Linked DNA regions of Yarrowia lipolytica. The protein of the gene in region 1 binds, or shares a complex with, the protein of each later gene. Links are inferred from orthologs where the notes say so. Each region holds a gene or a part of one and is shown in the gene's direction. Other genes may lie near its edges.

Region 1 (4,088 bases):
CTCAGGTTTGACAAGACTATGGAAAGGTCAAGTTGGATGGATGAGACCAGCAACAGTCGAGTGTTTGTACAGAATGTTGAGTGCCATTCAGCACAACCTGTATCCGGTTCACGATATCCATCTTGTGTCGCTTTGCAGGCAGTGCCCAAGTCGGGTCAGGTCATGGTTAATCACTGGTTTTCAGGTCATTGGTCGCAAGTCTCAATCCACTGTTCTCATTGGTTCGACCAGCTGAAGAACTGAGGACATGACTGGATAATACGTGGTCCATGCCTGTGTGTGGATGCCATGGTACATTCGTATCAGCTTCATCACCAGGCATTGTGGCTCTATTCTGCAAACGAAACGAACAAGTGCTCAAATACATGCAGGTGGACTCTGTTGTCCATTCGTATTCTTGCTGTTCATCAACGAAACATATCTTTCTTCTTCGGTTGACGCGGTTTCAACCTCTTCCAGCCATTCTATCAGACTACCATTGGGTGATACACTCGCTCTGGATTACTGGCCATAGATGTCTTCTTGTCGAGAGCAACTTGCGTCGAGAGCTATACATGCTTACAAGACACCTTTCATCACTCTGAGGCCCAAGCACTCTCGGTCTCCTGGCAAGATATCGTCTTCGGACGTGGATCTCGGTGCGAAGATGAGCGACAAGCATACATTTGGCTCAAAACTGGCTCAAAACTGGCTTGTAACTAACTCGGTTGCCCACGCAGCTGTGTTAGCTCTGTGCGGAAGTTACACCGATCATTTGAGGAGGACAAGTTGATGGTTTCCAACCCATAGGGACCGTGTCTATACTGTGCTGTATTCAGTTGCTCTAAGTACTCTCATGCTTGAATAGACCGAGTGACGTTTCCAAAGAGACGGTTTTAGACGGTTTTAGACGGCCTCAGACATGCACGAGGCGCCAGAGTCTCATTTCCACCCTCATGATGCGGTTTCACACAGTCTTTTCAACAATCACCCTGCTAGCAGCAACCCATTCTCTCTTCAAGGGGCTATTTCCAGACCAGCAAATCGTCGCCTTTTTGACCGAGTCTCCTCGTTGACGGACCTGCTCTGGAAACAACCCCTTCCCTTCCTTCTGCCGGCTCTCCTGAGCCCGAGTTTTCTTAGCCAGCTCCATAACGCTTGCCTGTCGCTGGTAGACGGATGATTCATAGTACAGTATTAATCAATGCATTCTTCAATCAGAGTGAGTAGTATGGAGAACGTCGCCCGAGAAGTTGCATTAGGGACATCAGAAGGGACATATCTGCCTGAAGACACATACCCTCACGTCAATCATGGTCACGCCAGTGCTCTCTAGTCGATTCGGAAGAAAAAGAGGAAAAAACACTGCAGCTTGGATCGCTCCTTGTATCGCTCAATTGAGTGACTGAAACCGTTCATCGAAAGGTCCAAGCAAGTGGCTATAGTCATAATCTGACTCCATTACGTACTCTCACGTGATCTTATCGTCAATAAATCACAATGATTTATCCCGGAATCGAACCCACAACCTCACCCACATCTCACCCTTCACTCCCGGGTAAAACCTAGTTGACACCTTCCTCCCACACCGTAGATTGGTGATATCACCTACAGCACGTTTCCAGCACAGTACAAAATGAGCGACAAGAGCGTAGAAGCCGGAGCGGACGCGGCCATGACCGACGTGAACGGCGATGGGTCGATTGGCGCCCAGACCGCCAAGATTGAGGCCAACGACGCCGATCTGAAGCCCGACAGCAGTGAGGTTGGAGGCGCGCACAACGACACGGCTCAAACAGCGACCAAGTCCGACAAGAAAGACGACACAAAGCCCAGCGACAAGGAGGAGTCCGTGGAGGGCGGCGGGGACGACGCGGGAGATGCGATTTCGGCCGAAGAGGCGAAGCTCGAGGAAAAGGCTCGGGCGTATCTGGCGGAACAAACACAACGGGTGGTGATTCCGTCGTTTGCCACGTGGTTCGACCGCAACGGCATCCACGACATTGAACGCAAGTCGCTGCCGGAGTTTTTCTCGGGCGTGTCGCGCACAAAGTCGCCGGCCATCTACACGCAGTACCGCAATTTCATGGTCGACACGTTCCGTCTGAACCCCGTCGAATACCTGACCTTCACCGCCTGCCGACGCAACCTCGCCGGCGACGTCGGCACCCTGCTGCGGGTCCACTCGTTTCTGGAACAGTGGGGCCTGATCAACTACCAGGTGGACCCCGACACCCGGCCGTCTCTGATGGGCCCCCAGTTTACGGGCCACTTTAAGGTGATGGTCGATGGCCCCCGGGGACTCCAGCCTTTTGAACCTCCGGCAAAGAGCCTGCTCTCCGAGGGCCAGGAGGACCCCGAAAAGGGAACCGACGGCGACTCCACCTACGTTGCGACCTCGACTGAGCTTGACGACTCCACTCCCCCCTCAATCAACATGGAGATTCGACGAAACATCTACTCGTCGGCCGCCGACGCCGCGTCGCTGCAGGACGAAAATACAAAGTCGCAGAACGTGCTCGCGTCCAAGGCGTACCACTGCCAGACCACCGGCGGTGACGTATCGGTGGTGCGGTACCACAACCTGCGGTCCAAGCAGGCGGTGGCGCAACTCGCGTTCGAACAGGGCCTGTTCCCGGCCACCCAGCAGGCGTCTGACTTTGTGCGCATCAAAAACTCGACGGCCCAGGGCCCCTGGACCGACGAGGAAACCCTCTTGCTTCTGGAAGGCGTGGAGATGTTTGAGGACGACTGGGACAGCATAAGCGACCATGTCGGCACCCGTCAGCGTGACGCCTGCGTCATCAAGTTCATCCAGATGCCCATTGAAGACGCATACCTGGTGAAGCGAGAAAAGGGCGTCAAGCGGGCCCATTCCGACTCCAACAAGTCCACGGTGCTGGCATCCGCCATCAAAAAGGTTCTCAAGGAAGGAGACGGAGAGCTAATGAGCAAGCGGGCGGAGGAGCTAGCTGGCCAGGCCGTCTCCGACGCCTCCACGCTCGTTTCGTCGCTGGCCGAAACCCAGATAGCCAAAATCGAGCTGAAAATGTCCCGGTTCGACCAGCTGGAGGAAACGGTGCGGCTGGAGCGCCAAGAGATTGAAAAGATGCGGCAGCAGCTGTACCTGGACCGTTTGTCGTTGAAGAAGCAGGCCGACAGTGTGTTGGCCAAGCTCAAGGAGGCGACCCAGCTTGGGGGCGACGAGGCGGTGGCGGTGGCAGCAGAGGCGGCTCGAATCGCCGCTCGCAACCCCAAGGTGAGCGTCGTTGAGGAGCGCGATGAGGGCGAGGTGCGAGAGAAGAAGCCGGTGTCATTGGGAGGACCTGAGTTGTTCAAGTTCTGGAGTGCCTAGACGGGCATTTCCTTAGGGGCTTGTCCAGAAGGCTTGTCCGGAAGAGTCTTGACGAGAGTGATCTTGTCGGGACGGTCCTCGTCGCATTTTCGTCTCGACACGACTTGGAATTGACAGCCTGCTCGACATACCCACAACCACCCTAACCCAAAGACGGAGATGTATGTATTTGTAATTGTATTGCTTAGTATGGATATAGATTGGTAACCACAACAGCATGGCCGGTTGTCGTGATCTCTTTGTCCCATTAAATCATCACCAACGTGGAGTGGTTTGGATGGACTTTGGACTACCTAAATTGACAATTCGGGATAATGCTACTTGTATGAGGATATGGAGTGTGTCATTGAAACTTGCGAGGCTCCAGCTTTCGATTGGTGCTGCTTTTATTGAAATCTGACCAATATTGAGAATTCATGATTTTCTAACGAGATACTTGAAAAAGCAGCAGTTTGAAAAGATCCAGAAGTAGTCGGTTTTTTACATACAAAAGCCCAGGAGTAGCTGTTTAGTTTTCTGCGGATTACTAAGTAATTAGTCATCACAACTCCGCTGTACTGGGTCCCTGGCTGGACCTGGCAACGCCCCAATGTACACTACCGAATACGACTACCGAATACGACTACCGAATACGCTTCGCAAAGACGAAAAACGCACATCCAGATGCCTACAAGTAGTCGGATCAGAAGTAGGAGCTACAAGGAATCATTCGCATCAGGGTGAAACCATATTGCTGCTTCATATCGATGAGACC
Region 2 (3,912 bases), on another chromosome or scaffold:
ATTTGTAATTACTCCCCCCAGGTAGGAGCTTGTCCTCCTTCATTCCAAGCTGGACCCTCGTTATCATTAACTACCCTCACCTTGACTGGTCTAGAGCTCTCCTCTCCGTCTGGATCGGGCCGCTTCATCACCAGCTTAAGAGAAGGAGCTGCATCCTTGTGTTTGGTGACCACCACCTGGTAGAGAGAGTAGCTGCGTGCCTGGCAGCCAATGCAGTTGTGTAGAATTTCGTGGCAGAAGACGTCACAGTCGATGCAAAAATGAGAGTGGCAGGTGGGACACTCATACCGTGACGTCATGGAGCCATCGGCTTGGATGTTTTTTGCATCTCTTGCCACCACTGGGAACTTGGATTGACAGCCTGCACAGAATTCAGACTTGTGTGCGTTCTTGCAGGGGACTTCAATAAATGGAGCCAGGGGGAAAAGATGGTGATACGATCTGGCCAGATGGGTGGACAGAATAAGTGTGAGACCACAGCAGGGGCAGACTGTGGGGAGTGAAGACACCTTGACCTTACATTGCGGACAGACGTATCCACCTTGTGTGAGAGCTGCATCGGAGGCCGAAAGAGAGGGAGCTGCTTCTGAAACCTTTGAAGGAAATCCCATGAGCACCAGGGATGCTGGATTGGCGCTCTGGCTTTGTTGTGACTCTGCCAAGGGTGTAGTAGCCTCGTCCATGAGCTCCTGGAAATGCTGTTCGTTCAGCACGACACCATAGTATGAAGCGTCTCCAAAGTTGGTTTTGACACACAGTTCCTTGCAGATCGCCACCTGCGCCGCCAGACCAATGACTCGGGCTCGGACCTTGTCAATAACGAGCTTGTCGATGGTTACGTGGATATCTCCTGGGTCAGCCGACAACAAGGCACCCAGAACAACCAGTACCTCCTTAGTGCAATGAGAAGGCACATGGAAAAGCAGACCTCGAGCCATTTCAAGAGCATTTTGAAGAGATGGATCACCTTGAGGCTCGAGCTTTTTGGCTGCCGTCAGGGCGTTAATGTGGTCGTTGGGGTTACTGCCCAATGTCGATATGCTGATTGCCTGTCCGTTTCTCATGCCCAGAATTCCGAGCTGAGAAATGGGATTCTGGTCGAAGAAGTTGGTTACGAATTCAATGGCATGGTTAATGACAAATTGGTACCTGTTTGGTCTGAGATCGGACTCTTTCATGGCAAACGAAAAGTCGAGCACCAAAATCAGGTTTCGAATGATACCTCTCTGGAACGGAGTTGCATCCTTGATGTGTCGTTTCTTTCTTGCTTCCACAAGACCCGCCACCGAGCCTGCCAGCGATCCTCCCTCGTCCTCTTGCACGACGTCCCAAGATCTATGGTATTCGTCTTCCCATGAGTATCCTCCATTGGCCATCTTCATGTTCTCCACCGAGCCTCCGGCGCCCTTGGGGGCCTGGTTTCGTCGCGACCGCCGAGGGGCACCCTGGTACTCGTCTCCACTAATGTTTTCAATGTAGTCGTCGTCCGAGTCGTCCATGGTGTGCTGAGATGTGTACTCGTACCCGTACTAGATAAGAGTATGAAGAGATGAGTGTTGTATGCATGCTTGCCATACAACGGAAGAAGCAGGACGTCGATACAAGGCGGCATTAGAATAGGTTTAAAGATTTGAAAGCAATTCTAAGTGGATTATTCGCCGTCGAAACAAATTTACAGAAATTAATATAGCCACTCCACTTCTTCTCCGCCATCTCATACACCGCTGTCTCTTGGCTGGGTCACATGACGAAGCTAATTTTTGGAGTATGGTTTCTGTCATACTCTAGTCAACACCCACACGTCGGAACGTTCATCACGTCGAACAAAAATCACCACACATCTCATCGAACCCAGACACCAACACAAAGACAACATGTCGCTCATACAAGACATTTTGGACGTGTTGCTAGCCGACGCCGTCGGAAAGACTGTGCTCTCCACAAAGGCAGTGCCCCAGGTGTCGCCTCAGTCCACAAACCTGTCGGTGCTTGCAAGCTATGCCCAACACAACGTTGCTGATCTGACCTCGGTATCCGAGAAGGCGTATGATTCGGTGCGCAACTTGTACGTGGACGTCAAGACCGCAGCCGTCCAGGCTCTGGTGGCGCTGCCAATTGGCTCGGAGAAGTATCTGGAGGTGGACCGGTTCTTCAAGTTTGCCGCAGCCCTCATCATCCGAGAAGGCTCGCGGATGGACCTGTTTGGAGGCAAGGACCCCGAGGATGTGGTACCCGAGGACGTGACGGAGTTCGAGGAGGAAATCGTGGCCGACTACGCCGACTTGACTGCGGACTTGGAGTCGTGGAGCGCAGAATCGTTTCTGGTCATGGGCCAGAATGGACCTCTGTTTTCGACGTTGTCCACCAAATCGGCCATCGACCCGCGCCCAAGTATAACCCCGGGCGCGTTCCAGGTAACCAACGTACTGCCACGTACCCGGTCGGTTCCGGCCTACCAACTGGGCTACCTCACACCTGCCGTGTCGCGACTTCCACACCCAGCCCTGCCTCCGACAGAGATGATGACGCACTTTGTGCACCCCAACGGCTCCGAGTTGGCGCCCAGCCGGTTCCTGCGGATGGACGCAAACTCGTCCTTTGCCCCCACTAGCGACAGTGGTAAGGCCGTCTACGACCCCGCTTCAACCGGAGCTCTGTGGTACGAGAAGGTTGGGCGACTGCGAGAAAGCGCCATCGACGACGCTCTTGGAAAGAACGACACCAAAAAGGAGGATACTAACGACGTGGAGATGAATGACGCGACTGAGGCTAAGGTGGAGGGACAGGAAGAGGAAGAGGAGAAGGGGGGACAGGGAGAGGAAGAGGAAGACCTCCAGCCTCTGTTTAGAGATGAAGATGTCGACCCCTCCAAGGATCTGCCCATGGAAGACATTCTCCAATGGCACCCTCGAAACTTCATTGACGACGACGAGTTCGAAGCCATCAAAACTGGCACCGAGCTCGAGTTTGTCAGCAGACTCATGCTCCAACTGCAACAACTCCAGGCAGACCGTTTGGCCACACCTGACATACCTCCACCAGTGTCGTTTGAGGAGCGACGGCTTGCAATGAAAATCGAGGGTGTGTTGGGACGGCTGCTGCAATCCACCGAGGGCATCGACATTGCTAACTCCAAGATCAAGCCTTCCACTAACATCCCTGCTCTCAAAACAAACTATCTGGGTGTTTTGCCGGCCCCTGAACCTCCAAAGCCCATTTCTTCCGTCGGACGTCTACCTTCTGGTCCCAAGACCCGACGGGCTAAGCGGTAGATGGGTGAGATAGAACGGTGATATTTGGGGGAGACGCCATGGCGTGACTCCTGGCACGGGCTGCCAGGACCTGTATTAGTTAGGATAATGTATGTTTAGTAATTTTCCGGGGTGTGAAACAATCTAAATGCTGTCAGCTAGAATAGGTCAAGATCGACGGGTAGCATCACAAGTACATACTGTACTGTATGTACTTGTACTTGTACGTACTTGTAGTTGTATGTAAATTAAGTAGTTGATTCTACACGCTTCTCAAGTTGGCTCTATTACAATGCTGTAACTAGACTAATACGTATGTTAAGAAGTGGATGTGTGTAAGGAGCATTTAATGTCGAAATAACTGGTTTAAGGAAGCGCACAACGCTTTTGTACAGCCATGAGCTCCACTGTCATCTCTGTATACGAATCACGCTACGGTACTACTCGTAGCTATATCTCGTTGTTACTCATTCATATATTATAATAAAAGTGATCAACTCCGTTATAGAGGAACGTCAGCACCCATGGCAATAGAGATGATCAAAAACAAGTTAAGAGCAGAGACCATACCAAACACTAGGTAGGCGATGAACTGAGTGGTGGCTGAGTTGCTCATGTCGACGTACTCGGGAATGCAGATGGACTCGTCGTCAGTAGAGGC

Evidence for each region.
Region 2: the proteins of YALI1_F06670g (region 1) and YALI1_D35394g are in contact, whole or in part, in a cryo-EM structure (PDB 6V8O), measured with the Saccharomyces cerevisiae proteins. The link is inferred for Yarrowia lipolytica from reciprocal best matches to the Saccharomyces cerevisiae genes RSC8 and RSC58. Residues at the interface, in NP_116695.3 of Saccharomyces cerevisiae: Thr229, Asn233, Val234, Tyr235, Asp236, Gln239, Phe241, Ala243, Glu247, His255, Tyr258, Ile259, His261, Cys263, Glu266, Ser267, Ile268, Asn269, Val270, Arg271, Tyr272, His273, Asn274, Leu275, Arg276, Ala277, Arg278, Asp279, Ser284, Phe292; in NP_013133.1 of Saccharomyces cerevisiae: Arg137, Asp167, Leu172, Asp173, Ile176, Ser177, Tyr178, Asp179, Phe180, Ile181, Lys182, Ile183, Ser184, Met185, Asn186, Tyr187, Thr188, Val189, Pro190, Ile191, Leu232, Pro233, Thr235, Asp236, Ile237, Glu238, Glu240, Ile387, Ile388, Lys389.

The regions. Positions count from the first base shown.
Region 1 is NC_090775.1:664,602-668,689, reverse strand, and holds YALI1_F06670g (uncharacterized protein), read left to right. Parts: upstream 1-1,615; coding exon 1,616-3,334; downstream 3,335-4,088.
Region 2 is NC_090773.1:3,537,340-3,541,251, reverse strand, and holds YALI1_D35394g (uncharacterized protein), read left to right. Parts: upstream 1-1,874; coding exon 1,875-3,272; downstream 3,273-3,912. Other genes in the region: YALI1_D35398g (uncharacterized protein), read right to left, coding at 9-1,499; YALI1_D35356g (uncharacterized protein), read right to left, coding at 3,754-3,912. UniProt on the Saccharomyces cerevisiae protein: Component of the chromatin structure-remodeling complex (RSC), which is involved in transcription regulation and nucleosome positioning. RSC is responsible for the transfer of a histone octamer from a nucleosome core particle to naked DNA.